4 linked regions of the Arabidopsis thaliana genome follow. The protein of the gene in region 4 purifies or fractionates together with the protein of the main gene of each other region. This does not show direct contact. Each region holds a gene or a part of one and is shown on either strand. Other genes may lie near its edges. The genes, in order: NAP57, AT4G26600, FIB1 and AT3G12860.

The links.
Region 1: the proteins of AT3G12860 (region 4) and NAP57 fractionate together in Arabidopsis thaliana (co-fractionation; one large-scale study listed by BioGRID). This does not show direct contact.
Region 2: the proteins of AT3G12860 (region 4) and AT4G26600 fractionate together in Arabidopsis thaliana (co-fractionation; one large-scale study listed by BioGRID). This does not show direct contact.
Region 3: the proteins of AT3G12860 (region 4) and FIB1 fractionate together in Arabidopsis thaliana (co-fractionation; one large-scale study listed by BioGRID). This does not show direct contact.

Annotation. Positions count from the first base shown.
Region 1 is NC_003074.8:21,153,292-21,157,763, reverse strand, and holds NAP57 (homologue of NAP57), read left to right. Parts: upstream 1-1,688; 5' UTR 1,689-1,811; coding exon 1,812-3,509; 3' UTR 3,510-3,949; downstream 3,950-4,472. Other genes in the region: SDP1-LIKE (sugar-dependent 1-like protein), read left to right, coding at 4,449-4,472. UniProt on the Arabidopsis thaliana protein: Plays a central role in ribosomal RNA processing. Probable catalytic subunit of H/ACA small nucleolar ribonucleoprotein (H/ACA snoRNP) complex, which catalyzes pseudouridylation of rRNA.
Region 2 is NC_003075.7:13,417,939-13,424,322, reverse strand, and holds AT4G26600 (S-adenosyl-L-methionine-dependent methyltransferases superfamily protein), read right to left. Parts: upstream 4,763-6,384; 5' UTR 4,695-4,762; coding exon 4,155-4,694; intron 4,059-4,154; coding exon 3,995-4,058; intron 3,866-3,994; coding exon 3,726-3,865; intron 3,624-3,725; coding exon 3,540-3,623; intron 3,449-3,539; coding exon 3,374-3,448; intron 3,285-3,373; coding exon 3,213-3,284; intron 3,120-3,212; coding exon 3,046-3,119; intron 2,801-3,045; coding exon 2,748-2,800; intron 2,666-2,747; coding exon 2,556-2,665; intron 2,353-2,555; coding exon 2,284-2,352; intron 2,199-2,283; coding exon 2,124-2,198; intron 1,954-2,123; coding exon 1,688-1,953; coding exon of another isoform or gene 1,684-1,687; exon of another isoform or gene 1,610-1,683; coding exon 1,510-1,609; coding exon of another isoform or gene 1,483-1,509; exon of another isoform or gene 1,396-1,482; coding exon 1,070-1,395; coding exon of another isoform or gene 1,066-1,069; exon of another isoform or gene 966-1,065; coding exon 905-965; 3' UTR 532-904; downstream 1-531. UniProt on the Arabidopsis thaliana protein: Involved in ribosomal large subunit assembly. S-adenosyl-L-methionine-dependent methyltransferase that probably methylates the C(5) position of cytosine 1586 (m5C1586) in mitochondrial 26S rRNA.
Region 3 is NC_003076.8:21,292,428-21,297,337, reverse strand, and holds FIB1 (fibrillarin 1), read right to left. Parts: upstream 3,192-4,910; 5' UTR 3,049-3,191; coding exon 3,030-3,048; intron 2,781-3,029; coding exon 2,473-2,780; intron 2,391-2,472; coding exon 2,295-2,390; intron 2,199-2,294; coding exon 2,121-2,198; intron 2,024-2,120; coding exon 1,847-2,023; intron 1,603-1,846; exon of another isoform or gene 1,529-1,602; intron 1,176-1,528; coding exon 1,107-1,175; intron 1,009-1,106; coding exon 829-1,008; 3' UTR 519-828; downstream 1-518. Other genes in the region: AT5G52480 (RNI-like superfamily protein), read left to right, coding at 1-420; EDA41 (FBD, F-box and Leucine Rich Repeat domains containing protein), read left to right, coding at 3,580-3,789, 3,882-4,322, 4,417-4,555, 4,644-4,910. UniProt on the Arabidopsis thaliana protein: S-adenosyl-L-methionine-dependent methyltransferase that has the ability to methylate both RNAs and proteins. Involved in pre-rRNA processing.
Region 4 is NC_003074.8:4,089,570-4,094,697, reverse strand, and holds AT3G12860 (NOP56-like pre RNA processing ribonucleoprotein), read right to left. Parts: upstream 3,132-5,128; 5' UTR 3,021-3,131; coding exon 2,816-3,020; intron 2,592-2,815; coding exon 2,377-2,591; intron 2,296-2,376; coding exon 2,138-2,295; intron 2,044-2,137; coding exon 1,856-2,043; intron 1,756-1,855; coding exon 1,503-1,755; intron 1,431-1,502; coding exon 1,282-1,430; intron 1,188-1,281; coding exon 1,053-1,187; intron 974-1,052; coding exon 777-973; 3' UTR 503-776; downstream 1-502. Other genes in the region: AT3G12870 (uncharacterized protein), read left to right, coding at 1-281; AT3G12850 (COP9 signalosome complex-related / CSN complex-like protein), read left to right, coding at 4,395-4,406, 4,557-4,883, 4,962-5,128.

The sequences.
Region 1 (4,472 bases), about 17 Mb from region 4:
TCTAAGCATTTTATCTTAGTTACTATTAGATTATTTGGATTTTGCCAAATGGGAATGTAAATGGTTGGGTGACCCAATTCATGTTGCACATTATTGGCTTTTACCCTCTGCTTTTTCTTCCTAGCTTCATCTAATGATTGCACCCTATTTATTTAGTATGATCATTTTGATACCAAAATTCAACAATTTGTAAAACTGATAACACCTTCATAGCCAACTTAAAGAACTTGCTTTTATATAAGGCAACGATAGAAAGAAATAAGAACAAATTGTAAAGAGCTAGGACAGTGATATTTGCGTTGAAATTACGCTGGAATTACAAGAATTCAAAGATCCACACGAGGCACATTAGAGGTTTTTTAAAATCTAGAAAACACTCTGTTTTTTGGGTTAAGGTCAGCCTTAAATAACAGCCAATCCTGATATACCCTTGAAACTTGATAGATAAATGACCTTATTGAGTTAACGAAAGAAAAGACATGAGAATTGATGAAGCTATGACAAAAACCAGATGTATCACATGTCATCTTCGATCCAAAGTGGCTGCTTCTTCCATGTTTGTGACTGATTAGTCTTCTTTTCACGTATAAACAGAGACAGAGAAGCACGAGTTTCATCAATCACTACTAAACCATCTCTCTTTTGGGTTTTCTCCAGTTTTGGATTGGTGGCGACAAGGCTTGTCGTAGCCGGAGGAGAAGCTCGTGGGTAGAAGAAGTCGGTCGGGAAGAAACTATATTGAAGGCCGGCCATTTCCTACTTCAGCCCAGTGTTTTCTCTTTGGTGAGTTTTAGGTTTAAAGAAAAATTGTTTGTTTGTTAAGCGACTATTTATTGGCGAGACAAGAGAGAGAGCCAGAGAGCTGACTTTACCTAAATGCAGAAACTTAAGGTGTAAAATGTAAAAGTCTGAAACAATGGGACCTATATTCTTGAAAAAACTTGGGGTTATTTTTGTTCATTATGCGAATCAGTTAGCGTAAATAAGGATATTCGAAGAATTATTTCACTATATTCTAGGGCGGTGGTTGATTTGTTCAAGAATTTTAGAATCAAATCGAAACACTTCACTCGAAACATTTTAAAATCGTGATAATTTTTCATGTCTTTGAATGGCCACATAAATCTTATGGTATTTATATATGCGGAAAAAGAGAGTAGTATACACTTAACTATATTCATCCATATTTATGATTTTCTGTGGTCAAGACTTGGTTTTAGTAATATAAGGATTGTCTTCTTGTTACTGAAAAAGACAGACGTTCGACTCTTAATATAATAATTATCACGAGGCGTTATTCATGCTTCATTAGGTTTATATGACCAATCAATACTTCTAATTATATAAGCAGTTTTATTAACATAACATTCAATTGTCTCGTATCAAAAGAGCTTTTTTCTACATTTTGGGCACAACAAAAGAGAACCTTAATTATCTACACAAAAAGGGTTATATTTACTTTGAAGTTTGAACTATGAAAGGTCTTTAAACTGGTATTCACTTCACGAATGATAATATTCAAACGAATTGAACTTGTATGAAAGTCCAATTAAAGGTTTTATCGGGTATATGGACCTCGTTTATTTGGGCACTAAACGAATTGAACTTGTATAAAAGCCCAATTAAAATCAAAGAAACCCAACTCAAGCCCAATAAGGGATTACCTTCAAGCTTCCAGTGTCATCACTGTCGCCTAAAACCCTAAAAAACCCTAGTCCTTTATAAATTACCAATCAGTCGTCTCCTCTTTTTCCGCTACAACTTTTAACGCCTCCTCCTCCATTTTTCAAAACCCTAATCCGACCGGAGCCATGGCGGAGGTCGACATCTCACACTCGAAGAAGAAGAAGCAAGACAAAACGGAGAACGATGCCGCCGACACCGGAGACTACATGATCAAGCCACAGAGTTTCACTCCAGCCATCGACACTTCTCAGTGGCCCATCCTCCTCAAGAACTACGACCGCCTCAACGTCCGTACCGGTCACTACACTCCAATCAGCGCCGGTCACTCTCCTCTGAAACGTCCTCTTCAAGAGTATATCAGGTACGGTGTCATCAATCTCGATAAACCCGCGAACCCTTCTTCTCACGAGGTCGTTGCTTGGATTAAGCGTATCCTCCGTGTTGAGAAAACCGGTCACAGTGGTACTCTTGACCCAAAAGTCACTGGAAACCTCATTGTCTGTATTGACCGAGCCACACGGCTTGTGAAATCGCAGCAAGGTGCGGGTAAAGAGTACGTTTGTGTTGCTCGGCTTCACTCAGCTGTCCCTGATGTTGCTAAAGTAGCTAGAGCTCTTGAATCGCTCACTGGAGCTGTGTTTCAGAGGCCTCCTTTGATCTCTGCTGTTAAAAGACAGCTTAGGATTAGGACAATCTATGAAAGCAAGCTGCTTGAGTATGATGCTGATAGGCATTTGGTTGTTTTCTGGGTTTCTTGTGAGGCGGGTACTTACATTAGGACTATGTGTGTTCACTTGGGTTTACTTCTTGGGGTTGGTGGGCATATGCAGGAGCTTAGGAGGGTTAGGTCTGGGATTTTGGGTGAGAATAATAACATGGTTACTATGCATGATGTGATGGATGCCCAATTTGTGTATGACAACTCCAGAGATGAGTCTTATCTTAGGAGGGTGATTATGCCTCTTGAGATGATATTGACGAGTTACAAGAGACTTGTTGTCAAGGATTCTGCTGTGAATGCTATCTGTTATGGTGCTAAGTTGATGATTCCTGGGTTGTTGAGATTCGAGAATGACATTGATGTTGGTACTGAAGTCGTTCTTATGACTACCAAGGGTGAGGCGATTGCCGTTGGGATTGCTGAGATGACAACATCTGTGATGGCTACTTGTGATCATGGTGTGGTAGCTAAGATCAAGCGTGTGGTGATGGATAGAGATACCTACCCGAGGAAGTGGGGATTGGGACCAAGGGCTTCTATGAAGAAGAAGCTTATTGCTGATGGGAAATTGGATAAGCATGGGAAGCCTAATGAGAAGACTCCGGTTGAGTGGAGCAGGAATGTGGTTTTGCCTACCGGTGGAGATGCTATAATTGCTGGTGCTGCTGCTGCTCCTGAGGAGATAAAGGCTGACGCTGAGAATGGAGAAGCAGGGGAAGCGCGTAAGCGTAAGCATGATGATAGCAGTGATAGCCCTGCTCCTGTAACAACCAAGAAATCTAAAACCAAAGAAGTTGAAGGAGAAGAGGCTGAAGAGAAGGTGAAGTCTTCTAAGAAGAAGAAGAAGAAGGATAAGGAAGAGGAGAAAGAAGAGGAAGCCGGGTCTGAGAAGAAGGAAAAGAAGAAGAAGAAAGATAAGAAGGAGGAGGTTATAGAAGAGGTAGCTTCACCAAAGTCTGAGAAGAAGAAGAAAAAGAAGAGCAAAGACACCGAAGCTGCTGTTGACGCAGAAGATGAATCAGCAGCAGAGAAGAGTGAGAAGAAAAAGAAAAAGAAGGATAAGAAGAAGAAGAACAAAGACAGTGAGGATGATGAGGAATGAGATGGGTTTGCGTTATGGTGCTTTTTAAGTTTTGAACTCTTTTGATTTTGCGGTATCTATCTACTCTGGAACAAAGTGAGACAAAAGGCATTTTATGCTTGTATTCTACGTCTCGCTTACGTTACCAGATTTTATGTTTTTGTAAGGTTAGTTTCAGTTCTAAGCAGATTCTCCCTTTAGTTATATGACTGTGGTCTCTCTCTCTGTTTTTGGTCTTTGCCCTTCTTGTCTGTCTGTTTGTCTGTTTGGCAACGAGGATAATAATAGACCTAAATCAGTATTAAAAGTTACGGGTTTTTAACTTTCAACAAACGGGCCTTAGCCCTGACCAAAAAATGGGCCTGATTACGAGAACTCAGTCCTTTGTTGTCTGTCGCTGGGTCTAGAGATGATTATCTCGGATAATACCGAACTTATTTAATACGAACCAGAGATGTTTGAATTCAACGGTTTTATATTCGTCGAGTTTCAAAAAACAGAGACTATTTGTGCAAAAAGACAATTTTTTATTCTTTTGCAATTTGTCGTGTTCGCGAGTTTATGTTCCCAAAATTAGAAAGTCCAAAGATTAGCTTGGGTCTTACTTAGATCGCCAATTTTGTCTCATAGCAAAAATGAATCTCAGGTTTCATTTAAATGAATTTCCTCTGTTCTTCGCTAAAAACGAAATCTTGAAGTCCTCTATTATACATCGGAATCTTTTCTTTTTCTATGTTATCTTGCAGATCCCTATGCCTCCCATCACTTGCTGTCTCATCTTTCTCAATTTCATTCCTCGGTGGGTTAGCGATATCTCCTTCTCTTCTCTAATGGGTTTGAAAAAATCGATTTTTTGATTCATCTGATTCTGGTCTTACAGACAAAATTGGCATCTGGGTTCGATTCTTTGTGTCCGTCGTAAAAACCAGTGATTAGGTTCTCGTCTTCGAGTCGGAGACAATGGATATAAGCAACGAAGCAGGC
Region 2 (6,384 bases), on a different chromosome or scaffold from region 4:
TATTTTTTGATTTCCTATTTTCAATGGTTTATTGAGATTTTGTTATTTATCCATACCATAAGTCCACAAAATTACTTACCATTTTGGTTAGCAAGAAATTAAAATGAACTCATTTGCTTTTAAAAGCTGTATCTTTTGGGTCCTGCAAAGGAATCTCTTTTCTATAATCTTGGATATCCAAATATAAAGTGAATACAGCAATTATACGATGTTATATGTGATGCATGTGAGTTTGTGTATACAAGGCTACAAGCACTAGCAGTTATAATATGGGCTTATAATCTAAAAATAGAAACAAGAAGATTAGTGTGAGAGAAGTAAATGTAAGGTCCCCAACGGAGGAGAATCTGATAAAGATGGATGAAGAAGAGTTGAATTGGATTGTCATGTTTCTCCAACACTCAAGTCCCACTTCAGAAAACCTTCACATCTCTCCCTAACAATGACCAGCTCACTCCCAATTCCCTTATTTTTTCGTCAAATCAATACTATGAGAAATTCTATCCTTATGTGGTGGTATGGACCCAACCCTCCAAGATTTATGTATTTTATTAAATAATTGCTAGGAGCAGAAAAATGAATAGCCTTTCAAACACACTTGTGAGAGAAAGTAGGGACTCGTTTTTGTTTTCAATAAATTTTACAACTCCAATTGAAAACGGAAAATAGAAACAGCCTCTCACAAAAATCAAGTTATGTGATTGATACAAAACTTTTGGACATGTAACAGCTAATCCATGTGGGTGTCACCCTTTCTTTACGCAGTAAATTAATCAAAACTAGAAAGCCATTGTATAGATACCTTGGCCTCAGCCAATGAAGCCTCTTTTCTTGTGTCCTTCGCCATGGCCAGAACACCGAAATATTCTACTCTTCAAGATGCATCACGATCTCAAACCTATTCTTATCCCCTGTGCTTTGGCGTCTCCTTAGCATTCTCTCTCATGGTTTTTCTTTTTTCTTCCCTGCAACATATTCAACCATTTATGGGTAAATGGGTGTATGATACAACAATGTACATAAGAAGGTTTTCTCTTTTGTCTGTCAAGGAAACACTTAGTTTTTTTACCTAGCTTGAGCAATCTCATTCTTCCATTGTGATCTCTTCTTCTTTTGCTTCCTGGGTTCTTCCACATTACCACTTTCGGTTTTTGTGTTTTTATTCCTTTTGCCTTTGTGAATTTCCTTTGACCTTGGATTTTTTCGTTTGTTCGTGTCTTCTTTAGTGTTACTCTCTCTCTTGGGTTGCCCACTGGCAACAGGTGGCTTCTCCAACTCCTCAATGGCCTCAGCTTTCTCATCATCATCATCACTAGACGACACCTGAGCTTGCTCCATTGTTACAGCTGGCTCATCATTTCCTGAAGGCTGCATTGCATTGCTCATCTTCTTCAGCTGCAGAACAAAGAAAGGAAAAAGTAAATACCTCGTTGGTTTAATCACTATTCATATTTTATAAAACATCTGTTTTGCAGGGAAAAGCTATTCATAGGTTAACCAAGTGTATACCTTTGCAACAAAGAATCCATCCATGTTGTGCACGTGAGGATAGAAACGTCTAGTCTTCTCTAAAGAAGGGTGGAACCGGTGTTCTCTAAAACTGCTAAATCTGAAGATATGCAGCAAAACATTTGTGTTCAGATGACGAATCATGAAATTTTTCAATGCAGATGAAAATGTATATTACCCTGGTCGGCCAAAATCAAGTCCACATGGAACGAGTTTAACATCCCTGTTTTTCAGAGCATAATCGATGACAGCTTCGTTCTGCATAATTTGTTGTACAAATAGAACTAGTGAGAAAACATGAAGATGCCAGGAAAAAAAAATAGTGGAACAGAAAAAGTATGGTTCACCAACCTCGGGTATCATAACTGAACATGTTGAGTAAACAATATATCCACCGGTTTTGGAATTGGCGTCTACCAAATCAATCGCACCAAGTATAAGTTGCTATGCGCAAGAAAAGAAGAGAGTATGGTTAGCATTATATACCAAATGCATCCTTCTTTATATACTCACAGTAAGAGGGTATAAACGGCGTTTATGCCATTTTCATGTTTAAATATTTGTCTTGGATGTAAAGAATGTTTTAGTTGATATTGTTTAAGGCAACAACATACCTTTTGCAAATGGGCAAATTTCTTTATGTCATCAGCACTTTTGGAAGTTTTAACTGATTCGTCTTTTGATATAACCTGCATTGTGTAGAAGTGACATTAAACTATGAACAGAGAAATTCACTTAAAAGACTATAAGAGTGTATGGTCCAAACTTTCTTACTCCAGTTCCACTGCAGGGAGCATCCAGCAATACTCTATCAACCGAGCTCTGACCTAAAACTTTGGTTAGCTGAAAGGCAAAGAAGATGAGATAAATAAAAAATGCAAGGGAATAATAGAGAAGCTGTCTTTAAAACTTTGTTATTTGGTGCAATTACAGTCTTGCCAGTAATTTTTCAATTTGGTTGAGCTGATGGTTTACAACCAGTTTGCAATATTTAACATCCTCAAGCATGTACCGTCAACAGAAGAATAAAGGTTCAAGAAACTAACCTCTCGTCCGTCATAGTTACAAACTATGGTATTTGTCACTCCCATGCGATGTAGATTGGCAGAAAGTGACTTAAGCCTAGGTACTTTCATCTCGTTTGCATATATTATGCCTGGTTATATAAACATTATAACATTAGATATAACTGACTAAAATTATGGGGCTGGAGGAATAAGGAACCAATATATGTATACCTGTATTTTTCATTAGTGCAGCAACATATGTTGTTTTACCACCAGGGGCAGCACTGCAGTGGTATAAGAACTTGTTACAGATATCACAATATACTAGTTGCATATGTCTCACATCACGGGACAATCAAATTGGCTTTTCCGTTTTGACAGCACTTATCATCACAACAATCATAACAAATGATACATATCACAAGCTACACTTGAATATCAGATTAAGGTACTGCTTGGTCATCATATATATATATATATATTTATCTGAGACACAAATATAGTGCATTTATGTAAGATAATGACTTACGCCATGTCCACAACTCGTTCTTTTTCTCGAGGAGCAAGGGCCATCACTGGCAAGAACGAACTAGCACTTTGCAACTGAAAATGTACCAAGAACATACTTAAGTAAACAATAAGAAAACCCATAAAGTGTGAGCCGAAAAGTACAAAAAAAATCAGAAAATCAAGTACCATATAGAATCCTGCCAAATATTCAGGAGTTGCACCAATCGGAACTTGTGAATCATAAACGATAAGTCCAACCTACAAATATTATGCCAGGATCAACTAAAGATGGTCCACAAAAATGTTTTCGCAAATAAAATGGAAGACAATCTGCAAATACTACTTACTTTTGACCACTTGCTTAATGGGTCTAGATTAACTCCTCTGTTCAAAAGTATATCAGCCAGATCCCGTCTTCGAGTCTTAACCAAAACAAACATCAGCATTAATTGAAATATCACAACAGCTGAGAAATACTTTGTTTTAGACACTCCAATGCACAACCAAGTTCACCTTAAGAGTGTTAGTACGTATAGATGTAGGTCTTTTCTTTTCAAAAGCTTCGATTAGTTCCATGAGTTCAACAACAGGAAACATCTGCCAGAAGATTACAACTAAAGAGTATAAGTAACAGAATTCCTACACATAACTCTAGATCAAAGCAAGCATAAAGAGTAAAGTCAGAGACTAGGGAATAACCTCAATTAAAGTTCCAATAAGAAACTCATTATAGCCGTAGTAAGAACTAAGATCAGCTTTAAGCTGTCCAACATAATCATTCCTCTCGTGCTTGTCTCCTTTTGGCTTCAAGTCCTTAAAATTCGACAGGATTCTAACAACTGAAACACAAATTAGTACCATTAAACTAAGAACCGAGAGGATGATTCCTTAGGAGATTTAAAACAATCATAATAATAACATTACACCAGAATTCTTAAAAAGGAATAAAATTTGAAAATGTTACTCACTCTCTCTTATCCTCATTTGCAAGCTAGGAAGATCTGGCGGCCGACGTGCCTCTTCTTCAAGTTCCTAAACAATGTAGAGTAATAGAAAAGATTAGCTAACAAATAGCTCCAGAGATCCAGAATATGAACAAATCCACAATTAAGTAAAGGAAAATGTAACCTTTTGGGTTGGTAGCTGAAACTCATCAGGTTTCTCCTTAATGTTCATCTTGAATTCATCGTCTGCATCTTGTACCTCCTTTTTACGTTTTCTATCAATAGCTCTAGATTTCCTCTCGAGTTTGGATCCACCAGAGTCAGAATCCAAATCAGAACCCATGGTTACCTCCTCATTATCGCTACCATCGAGAAAGTCTTCAGCTAAGGGTTCTGCATCCTCATCATCATCATCATCATCATCATCATCATCATCATCATCATCACTATCATTGTTTCCTTCTTCATCACCATCAGAGAACAAATCAGAACCTGATTCAGACCCTTCATCAGACTGTTCATTCTCTTCTTCTTCTTCTTCCTCGTCTGTGGAAACTTCAGGCTTTTTGAGGGGCTTCTTCTCCGAAATACATTTCCTCTGCTTCTTCAATGGAGGCTTCTGGGTTTTAGCCGCCTTCTTCAGCGGAGACGCCTTAGTCTGCTTATTCAGTGGCGGAGTCTGTGAATTGGAACCCTTCTTCTTGTTACGCGTAAGAGCAGCCATGGATACGGTTTTTACAACTTAGGGTTTATCGCCGTGAGGGTTTAGCAGAATTGCAGAGGTAGGAGAAGCAAGGTCGAAGAATCTAGTAAAGATGGAGGATGAGCAAAGTTGCTTAATGGGCTTGATTGATACTAACTAATGGGCCTGACTAATACTAACTAATGGGCTGTAGTCGAACTTATTTTTTGTCAGCCTAATAAATTATCGAGCCACTGAATTCATAAAACCTATAAAAACATAATTCAATAAGTTATTTGATGTATGCGTTTAGGGGTTTCAAAATGGGTAATCCAACTCAACTCTTAATCAAATAAGTTTAGATGTTAAATGAGTTGGGTCAACCCATAACTCATTTAATTTGATGGATTGAATTGTTAAATGGGTTAACCCATTTAAATAATAATTTAATTAATTATTATTATAAAACAATAATAAATAATTAATATTATTAATTCATTATCATCAAACTTAAAATATTTACGGATTCCACTTTTTACGGGTTTACGTTTTTGGCGGAAAAATCACAGGTTTATGTTTTTGGCGAGAAAATTATAGGTTTACGTTTTTGGCAGGAAAATTACGGGTTTATGTTTTTGGTGGGAAAATTACGGGTTTACATTTTTGACAGGAAAATCTCGGGTTTACGTTTTTGGCGGGAAAATCACGGGTTAACGTTTTTGGCGGGAAAATTACGAGTTTACGTTTTTGGCGGGAAAATTACGGATTTACGTTTTTGGCGGGAAAATTATGAGTTTACGTTTTGGCGGGAAAATAACGGATTTACGTTTTTGGCGGGAAAATCACGGGTTTACGTTTTTGGCGGGAAATTACGAGTTTACGTTTTTGGCGGGAAAATTACGGATTTGCGTTTTTGGCTGGAAAATTACGAGTTTACGTTTTTGGCGGGAAAATTATGGATTTACGTTTTTGGCGGGAAAATCACGGGTTTATCTTTTTAGTGAAAAATTACGAGTTTACTTTTTATCAATTTCATCGCTTGTATATTTAAGAAATTTGGAAAAATATTAATTTTATTAAATTGGTTTAAATGTGTTGGTTAAACTTAAATTGGCATTGGTTTAGAAATTTTAGTTGGTTTAATTCAATTTTACAAAACTTGATGGGTTAATTGGGTAAACCATTGAAATCATTAACCATTACAACCCAACTCATTTTACTCATCAAACCAATTGACTCATCAACTCATTTGACCCATTAACTCATTTGAGTCAAAATTTTCAACTCATTAGAGTTCATGGGTTGAATTGAGTTGAGTTAACCCATGAATTTTAACCCATTTTGACATCTCTACCTGCGTTACATGCTCAGCCCATGCATGATTGAAGCTAGTGATGTTGATAACAAAAACTGAAATGAATCACGTAATTTTCTAAAATCAGTTCTAAACGATTCTGTTTCTTCTTTAAGAATGAAAACACGAATTTATTTTTGGTGAATTTTAATTCCAACTACCAAAAATAATTTGATTGATTGGTTGAAATTTCTTGTAAAATTGTGTTAGAATTTGAAATATTATCATTTGCAGGATATATATGTAGTTTGGCTGTCAAAAAAAAATGTATTATGTTTTTGGTGAAGTTGCAAGTTATTTATAACACATAGAACCTAGTCATAGACGTTGACATGAAACAGATTGAATAAGACAGTGTGTGTCTTAGAAACAGAAACT
Region 3 (4,910 bases), on a different chromosome or scaffold from region 4:
AATCTGAAGACATTGATGCTAAACCGCCTCTTTTACTTAAGTTCGGATGATGATGATCATGATGCCATAGCAATTGCAGAAAGCATGCCTAAACTACGCCATCTCCAGCTTTGTGGGAACAAACTAACCAAAACAGGCTTAAACGCCATTCTTGACGGTTGTCCTCACCTGGAACACCTCGATTTACGCCAATGTATCAACCTTGTCGGGAATCTAGAGAAGCGTTGTTTTGAGAAAATTAAAGATTTGAGACGCCACAATGATTCTACCTCTGCTGATTACCCGTTTTCTTTTGAAACTTACTATTTTCATTGGTCACGCCAATTGGCAATACTTAAAAATGCGCTACCGATGGAAGAAGGCGCCTATAACTTTGATCCAATAGTGGAAGAAGCCGAATATTACTTGAAACTGTATTGAGACTTATGTCAATAACACTTAGTCGGTTTGTTTGTGTTTAAAATTTTATTAACCAAAAAAAAATGAGTTCCTTTCAGAGCTAAGTGATACTTTTACGCCTTTTCTTGAGCATAATCATGTTCAAAACAAACTACTTCAACAATCAATTCAGCATGCAGAAACAAGTAGGATTAAAATGGACAGTAGTTCTTATAGCCAAGCAAAAACAAGCATAGAAAAGACTGATGGAGATACAATCATTGGACGAAAATGTTGCATCAATATATATTAGTTCTAAAACGAGGATAAAATTTTCCAAATGAGACATAAAAGCATTATCCATCTCTAGCTTAATACAACAAGCAAGGAGATAAAAACAAAACCCAGTAAATAAGTCTTAATACACAGGCACTACTGTCCACAGTTCCTCTATGAGGCTGGGGTCTTTTGTTTCTTCGGCATGCGGTAACCACCAACAACACAGGCATGGTCACGCTCAAACGGCTCGAGAGTCACCTGTTCTGCTGGCTTAAACTGCTCTTGTTGCAGCTTCTTCACCTCGCTCTGGAAGACTGCTTCTGCTGCAACTGTAGAGTCGATACAGTTGGCCTGAACAGATGAGACATGTTTATTTAGCGACGGAAATACAAATTGAATAATAACAGAGGAGAACATTGTTGAATTTGATTAAGGATAAGAGCACTGACCTTGATTGAGATAACAAAGTGTCCACCAGTTTTGAGGAAAAATGAGGCATTCAGGGCCAAGATTCTTGCCTTCAAGAGTTAGGCAAATAGATGGATTCAATTAAATAAAACATAAACAGAGAACCAAAATGAGAATAAAGAGAGACATTAACATAAACATAGAAACATTTATGGAATCATTGCAGATTTCTTGGAGCAATCTCTGCTAGCTCAGCAATATTGCTACAACAATTGAGTCTCCAAGTTTAGTAATAAAGTAAAACTTCTAAATGACTTGAAAATGCAATTGTTGAAAACCAGAAGAAACCGAAAAGACTTCTTCCAAATCGATAAGATATACCAAATGAAGACAAATAAAAACTTTGAGATTAAAACAGATTTGCATGTTCAAAGTAAAAAATTTTAGTAAAAAGATACAAAGTAGCATCAGAAGCTTGGAGTTTGCAACACCCATAAATGTTCTGAAGGGGAATCCAAGTAAAATCATCATCTGCCGATTTCATTGTACTGATTTTTTTAAAAGCAAAAGATGCAATGCAATAAAAAAAAACTTTGAAGATATAACTGTAAAATAAAAAGGCTTCAAACATTTCATAGTAAATGAAATGTCATCATATGCCGATTTCAATGAACTGATATTTTAAAAGCAAAAGATGCAATGCAATATGACGTAACCTTTGTGAATAAAACTGTAGAAAGGGTAACTTCAAACTTTCATAGTAAGAAATATAGAACCAAACCTGATCTGGCTGAGCAACATCAGAGAATATGACATCAACCATGCCCACGAGCATTCTGTACTTAGCCGGATGTCTAGCATCTTCAATGATTGGAATAACGTTAGTTCTCTTCTTGGCCATGTTCACCAAATCTCTACCACTTCTATGAGAAAACTCAACAGCATAAACACATCCCTCCTACAAATCATAAAGCAATAGAACAAAGATAAGTCTCAAACATAGGATAGAAATGGACCTACGGATAACTAAAATAATAATTTAGTGAAAGACTTACAGGGCCAACGAGGTCAGAAACATGAGAGACAGTGGTCCCAGAAGCAGCACCCAAGTAAAGAACTTTGGCACCAGGTTTCTACAAAAGTTTTAACAAAGAACCAATTCAAGCACATGTCTTTCAATACAAAAAAAGAAAACAGAGTCAATGTGGTATGTGTATAGATGGACTTACGATCCAAATGTTGTCGACACCACCAAGAATTGCAGCAGCTAACTTAGATCTAAACGGATTCCAAACTCTGTATTCAACCTTAGTTCCATCTTCATTCTGCAAAAGTGAAGTAGCTATAATATAAGAACAAAAACAAACTCAATTTAATTATAAAGAAAACAATCCTCAAACTTCATACCTGAACAGAGATTCTCTTCTCATTGTAAACAGCTTCACCAGGAACCAAATTCTTAGTGACAAGAGCATCTTCTTTACCCTTAGCAATAAACACTCCCGCATGTCTGTGAGGCTCAACAATCACTTTGCTTCCTCCTTTCATTCCTCCACGAGGTGGTCCTCCACGACCACGAGGCGCACCACGTCCTCTGCCGCGAGGCCCACTACGGCCTCTGTCACCACTACGGCCTCCTCCAAAGCTTCTTCCACCTCCAAAACCTCTTCCACCACCATCTCTTCCACCTCTGAATCCTCCACCACCACGTCCTCCTGATTATAACAATACCAACATACAGAAAATTAACTAAACGGAAGAACAGAGTGTTATTAAAAATCTCTACTTTTATCTTTGAACTTTATTGAAACAGTGAAGATACAAAAGGCTCATGAATTAAAACCCTAACTACCAATTCAAACTACAGAAACCGTAATGATACGAATTCAGATTTGATACGGACAGGGTTATACTCTAGAGGCAGACAGAACAAGAAAGACATAAACTTTAACTAAGGTTCTTACCTGTAACTGGGGGTCTCATATTTGCTTGTCTAAAAGTGAAGAACGAAAGACGAGAACCGAAAAAAAACGAGGGCAAAGGAGAGAGATGTGCGGTGGTGGCTGATTTTAGAGTCTCTGTGAGTTGGTTTATATATTAAGATTTTAGGGCTTTTAGGGTTTATGCTTTGGTAACATTTCTTGTATTTTATAAATAGGCCCTTCTATTATATATATCTTAACTACATTAGTCTACTACATTGGTAACGATGGGTCCAAACTCCAAAGTATGGAGTTGGGTTTGATCCGGATTGGGTCAAGATAATAATGGGCCGATTTTATTGGCCCAAAGTGGGTTTGTTTATGTCTCACGGAAAAGATAAGTTAGGGTTTTATTTTTGTGAGACAAGAAGAGTTAGTTATTCACTTATTCTCAATTTCTCATAGAGAAATTACGAATATATCTAAGGTTCTCGATCATCTAAAGTTTTTAGGGTTCGACTTGCTCCTCCTCGTCTCTGCTTACCTATATTTGAAATCTTTATCACAAACTCAGCTAGCTATTACATCACTAATGGCCGAACGTTGTCAAAGAATTGATGAAGAGGTTGTTGCTTCTAGAGACGAGATCAGTTCGTTGCCCGACGATTTGCTTATCCAGATTTTGTTGCTTGTACCGATCAAAGATGCAGTTGGGACAATGATATTGTCAAAACGATGGCGTTATGTCTGGACGTTGTTGCCTAAACTCGAGTACAGTGATCCTGGTGATGAATGCGAAAGCGTGTGGAAGTTTCTTGAAAAGTTATTGGAACTTCACAAGGCACCTTTTCTAGAAACTTTGTGCATCCAACTCGGTAAAAATTTTCTATTGAGGTAGATGTTGGGAAATTAGTTGCAAATGCAGTTGATCGCTTTGTGCGCAAGCTAGAGTTAGAGCTCCACTGGACGGCAGAGCCTACCAGCTTGCCTAAGAGTCTTTACACATGCAAAACACTTGTGGAATTGACTCTTTCGGACAAGATTATAGTGGATGTTCCTTCTTCGGTTTGCCTCCCGTCACTCAACATATTACGCCTTTTTTATGTGGTGTTCAAAGATGAAAATTCTCTAGAGAGGCTTATATCAAGTTGCTCAGTTCTTGCCCGATCGAAAGTGGGCCTCGCCATCAGTGATAACCGGGACTACCGTTTCGCGAAGGTGCATAAGCTTCGCCTTGAAAAGCCACATATCGACGTTGTATGTCATACTGATGACAAGTTTCTCAAAGCTATTTCCTTGGTCACGTATCTTGTGTTACCTTTGGAAGATCCAATGGTATCTATCCTTTTTATTATTATTGTTTTTTTTCTTCTTGGCTGTTAGGTTTGATCACATTGATTTATATTGGCTTTTGATTTAGTCATTGAAGGCTCTGGATTTTCGTGGCTTTACCTTCACTCGACTTGGAAAATTAGTGATATGTCCACATGGCCATCTCTGGTTGGATATAATTCCACTAATTCTCAACAACTCTCCTAAACTAAGATTTCTTGCTATCACTTCTGTAAGTAACAAGTAACAACGCAATCTCCTTGTTGTATAAACTGATTCTTTGATTCCACCTCATAGATTTTTATGTACTTGCATCCAGGTAAGTGGATATCGACCCGGAAATCTCCCATTGTCATGGTACCAACCAAGGTACTGTTCCCAGATGCTTGTCGGCTCATTTAGATGAGGAGTTTGTGTGGCATGGATATAGAGGAAACGAAGAAGAGACACAGCTCATAAGATACATTTTTGCTAATGCAAAGTGTTTAAAGAAAGTGACAGTCACATCTATATGGGAACATTTTCAATCTTCAATCTTGAAGAGAGAGATATCAACCTTCCATCTTGAAGAGAGAGAGGTGATAGAAACGG
Region 4 (5,128 bases):
GGGCGGTACGGTACAAATCTGAAGTGGAATCGCATCTTGAGAAGTTGTTGGAGAGGGAGAAAGAAGATGCGAAGCTGTTGCGTAAATGTGTTGAAGAGTTGAAGAAGAAAGGTATCGAATTTGATTTGCTTAAGGAAGTGGATGCGCTTCGTAGAGCCAAGAGTTTAAGAGTTGAGTCGAAGCCTGTGAAGAAATGGTCTGCTAGGGATTTTGTGACGCTCTTCTTCTTCTCTGTTTCGTGTTTGGTTCTTGCCATGATTAGACTCATTCTCTGCGATTGATTCTTTTGCTCTTTTGTTGCTATGCTTTAGCAGAATTCTCTGGTTTCTGCAATTTTAGTGATAATAAAGAAAAACAACATGTTTGATTCATCTCCTTCAATCCTTTTTTGTAATGTTAATTTGTTTTGTCGACATTTTCAAAGAATTGAGCAAAAACATATCCATACATACTTGAAGATCCATTTCAACATCAACAAAAATTTGATCATCTTCAAAAGTTAAAAACCAGACCTGATAAATAATCAAAAGCTTGTTCTTTTGTTTAAGACAGACTCAATTGTAGAAAATCTGATAATTATATATGTTTTTAGTTGTTTTTAAGTCATAAACTCGCAAGACAGAGACTCAAGCTTGTTTTCATTTGGCTAAGACAGACTTAATTCAAAAGTAGAAAACCTTATCTAATTTGCGCTATGTTTAAAGTTGTTCTTAAAGTCAAAACCCTATGTAGAAGAAAGAAAACTAAAAACTAGTGTATTACACAGACTTGTTTGTTTATTCATCATCTTGTGACTTAGTTTTCTTCTTCTTCTTGCTATGGCCATTATCTGTTGCTGTCAATTCCTCTCCTTCTACTGCTTTGCTTTTCTTTTTCTTTTTCTTTGATTTCTCCTCTTCCTTCTCCTCCTCCTTCTCCTCTGTCTTTCTCTTCTTTTTCTTCTCCGAAGCATCCACTGTTTTTTCTCCCTCGTCTTAAAAAAAGAAGAAACAACCCATCAAACAAAACCGTTTACCACAACAGATCAGAGAGCTTTGTTGGGTCATATGTACCTTTCTTCTCAAGATTTTCCAACACTTCTTTCATTACATCAACATTCTTACGTGGGGCAACACCTTTGTCATAAAAGTCAAGTCTTTCCTCTACTTGTTCCCTTAGTTTCTCACCGAAAGCTGTAGTGCTGTTATCTGCATAACACAACCACCATGATTTTGTAGTTAATAACAACGCATCATCTCCCAAACACCTCTCTCTTATTCAGGACATTCTCTAGATTATTACCTGAGAAACAATCAATCCGGGAAGCAATGGAACACTTGTTTGCAAGGAAACGAGCAATACGGCCCTTGTTTTTAGCAGATGCACGCCCGATGAATGATGAATGGAATATTAGACCATATTTGGGTGTGTTTCCACGTGTTTTCAGTGCCCTGAAATTAACACCAAAGTTAGTTACTGCAGTGTAATTAAACTTGTAAAGACTAACAAAGCTTGAAATGCACCTGAAAAGTGCCTTCTCAGCACCGAGAATCTGGAGGGTTGAAGATGGGCACTTGGCAAGATTTGTCAGACTTCCTGCATGTGAAATCAACCTAGCCCCAACCATCTCTCCGATCAAGGCCGCCAAATTTGGAGCAATGTCACTCATTTTAGTAACAAGATAATCATAGAGCTTCTTCCTGTAATCTGCAAGGTCCATAACTCTCTGAGCAAAGGTCTGGACATTGATCAGATCAACCGGTGATAAATCCTGGCCTTCAAATAGAGAAAACAACAATGTCTTAGAACATGAGAAACAATAGATATATTGTAAAGATTCATGATTCTTATCGAACATGCTACATCAGTTTATTACCCATAGATGCTTTTCCAGCTTCAATAACCTCTCTTGCCTTATCTTCATCACCCAGGGCTTCAGTAAGCATAGGGATGTGCTCTTCAGACAACTTTGACTTGTCGACGATAATCTTTGAAACTTTGGCGTAGAGGTAGTTGTCATTAACTATCTTGACAAGCTCAGGGAAGTGCCATGAGTACCATTCTCTGCAAAAACATAATATGAGCTGCTCAGAAACCATTTTCTCTTACGGTAACAGACAAGACATAATCTGAAAGGCAAAACAATAAGAAAACAAACCTGACTCTCATAGCAAAGGAATTGATATCCTTATCAAGTGTGTCAAGCATGAAAATAGCTTGAATAACCATGTTATCCACCCGGTTAACATTGAACTTCACCTTTGCTCTGCTGTAGCTATGAGCTAGTCCAAGTTGAGCTTTTTCCAAATCACCAGGCTACATTATAAAGAAGATGATATTGAGCACGAATAGCAAAAATATGTGTAGGTATTAGGTAATCAAAAATAAAAAACACACCTTCAAGTCTTTGATGAACCTATCGAAATGCTGACGCACACCTCTAAGGAGCTCATGGACAAACTCATTGCTCTGGCAAGGAATTTTGGTAGCTTCAAAAATGCAAGAACCGATTTTAGGCTCAGACACTCCCAAACTAAACTTGGGCTTCTTGCCTTCCTTCACTTTCGGGAGATTCAGCTCCAGAAAACTTCTCAGCTCATCGCTCATGTATCCTACGATTTTTAAGGTGTAAAAACAATACAAATATTAATACTTTATTATCAAGACCTCCAGCAAAAGCTAAAACAGAACAGAATAAGCTGATTCCAACAGTAGTAAGAGCTCAATTTCTAAGAATTAAGCTCTTTCCAGCATAAACTATAATAGAAGCAAGTAATAAAGTATATGGTGCAGGAAACTAAAGAGGGAAAGAGCTGTAATTTAGTAGTGAGTTCACCTTCAGAGACGGCGTTGATTTGGTTAAGAGCATCGAGTGCAGACTGGAACGGGTGAAAAGCAGTGAGCTGGACGACCCGCCCGAACCGACTAAGGTCCGAGACGGAGCTCCGAACCGCCTCCGTGTTCTGTCCAATCTCATCGGAACCGTGTCCCTCGAACAATCCGTAGCCGGAGGGTGATTCGGAAAGAAGATAAATCTTCATTGTAGAGAGAATTCTGTAAAAACCCTAGCCGTCTTTTTCAAAATTGATTTGAAAATCGAGTATTTATGCAGTTTCCGTTTCGGAGAAGAATAAGAGAAATTAGGGTTTAAGGTTATTTCGCACGGAAGATGATGCGGCTTTGCTCTTAGATTAACTACATGGGCCTGGCCCATTAATTCTATCGGACTCAACCAAAATGACTAGCATGGGTCAATGGTCTTCATGTAAGGAAAAAAAAACAAGCTTTTGTTATACAAAGAGGGAAAAGTTTAGGTGGTCTCAGGTGAAGTACACGCGCGTGGGCTTCAGTTACTGTGGAAGGGCCCGTACCAGATCATATCAGTTAGTAATATAAACAAACTAATTGATCCGTTACAGAGTTGAGAGTCGTCTTCTTTCTTGTTGATCATCTTCTTCTTCTTTCTCCTGTAAAATTAATCTGTAACAGAGAGAAAGAGAGATACAAGAGAGATAGAAGGTCCTGTAGTCACATCATCGAAGGGATTGCTGAAGACCGTACGTGTGAGTTCTTAAGATTCTTTCGCTCAAGAATCTGCAACAGAACAAGACGATTAGCTCAACTAGTGAATCAATTATACTCGTACAGATTCAATTTGCGAAATCTCTCGATTAGAAAGAGGAACTGAGGTCAGTTTAACTCTTCTTTATTCCCAAATCGTGCAAAGTTGCGGTAAATGTAATGTTTCGATTGAAGCTTTTGACTTTGATGCATGGGTTTATTTGTTATGTAAAATCATATTGCAGTAGAAACTTAGCTTCATCTTTTATGCTAGTAAATGAGATCTATCTCTCAGAACTGTTAATTTGTGTTGTTGGGACACTTCTCTAACTTTCTTTGTGTTTCTTGAATAGGAAGCAATCGTCGTTTAAATTTATTAATCGTCATAGATTCAATTTGGAGAAATTCTATCGCTTAGCAAGATAAACAGGTAACTTCAACTATTTTTCTTTCCAAATCGTGCAAAGTTTCTTTGATTGAATCTTTTGATTTTGGTGAATGATTTTGTTTTTGTGACATAATTCGTTTTTGTAGCAGACTTACTTAATTTTTCATGCAATTAAATGAGATTTCTCTCTCGGAACAGTTAATCTGTGTTACTTTCTTTAATGTTTCTTGCATGTGAAGTAATCTCCGTTTAGAGTTAATCTTGTCAGTTTTAATTTGGAGAATCCATCGACTAGCTAGATTAACAGAGCATTGAGTTTGGTAGAAAAATATTGTTTATGACACACACAAATTTGTTTTCGCAGCAGAAACTTAGCTTAGTTAATTTGTTAATCAGATTTAACTTCATTTATCTTTCTTAAGTGTTTCTTGCAGACTAAGTATTGAAAAAACTATTGGTTAACAAGATGGATATTGAGGTAATTTTAAATAGTTTTTTTTTTTTCAGTTTAGTTCGTGCAATGTTGCGTTTTACTGTAAAATCTATTGGGTTATTGTTGTCAACAAAAAAGAAGAAGAACATATTGTTATCGTTAAGTTGAAAATCTTGTTTAATGACCTTTACTTAGGGTGATGATCAATTGGACTTGGATGTGGAAGCTTATTCACGAAACTACGAAGGACGAAACCTAGTGCTGAGGCTACTTCATATCGCAGAGAATTCTGTTGGCCCGATGTTCACTGACGATTTGGAACTTGAAGCCCTTCGACTTGCCTATGATCTTATCCGGAATGACGGAATTGTCTGTGACATGCGTTTGTTCACAGTTATAGCTGAAAAAATACAAGGCAGATTAGGAGAAGGTTATCTCTTGGATGAAAAATGGCGTCTTACTAAGAACAACAATTTCGTCAAACAAGACAGCATTCTAAGAAACGACTTAGAAAGTGCTACGGTAAGGAAAAGTGACTATAAAACTTTGCTTGCGCAACAAGATTCCATATTGTACATCTAATCTTCTATTCTTTTGCAGGACGAACTCGAAAAAGACCGTCTTGCACTTCGTCAGTATTGGCTCCATTACCACTGTGGCCAAATGGCGATCGTTTTCCGACCATATCCCCGGCAGGTCCAAACTATCGATGCTTACATGGCTACACTATTGGTGGCCCTCGAGACCCGCAACTTTGGGGAGCTTCC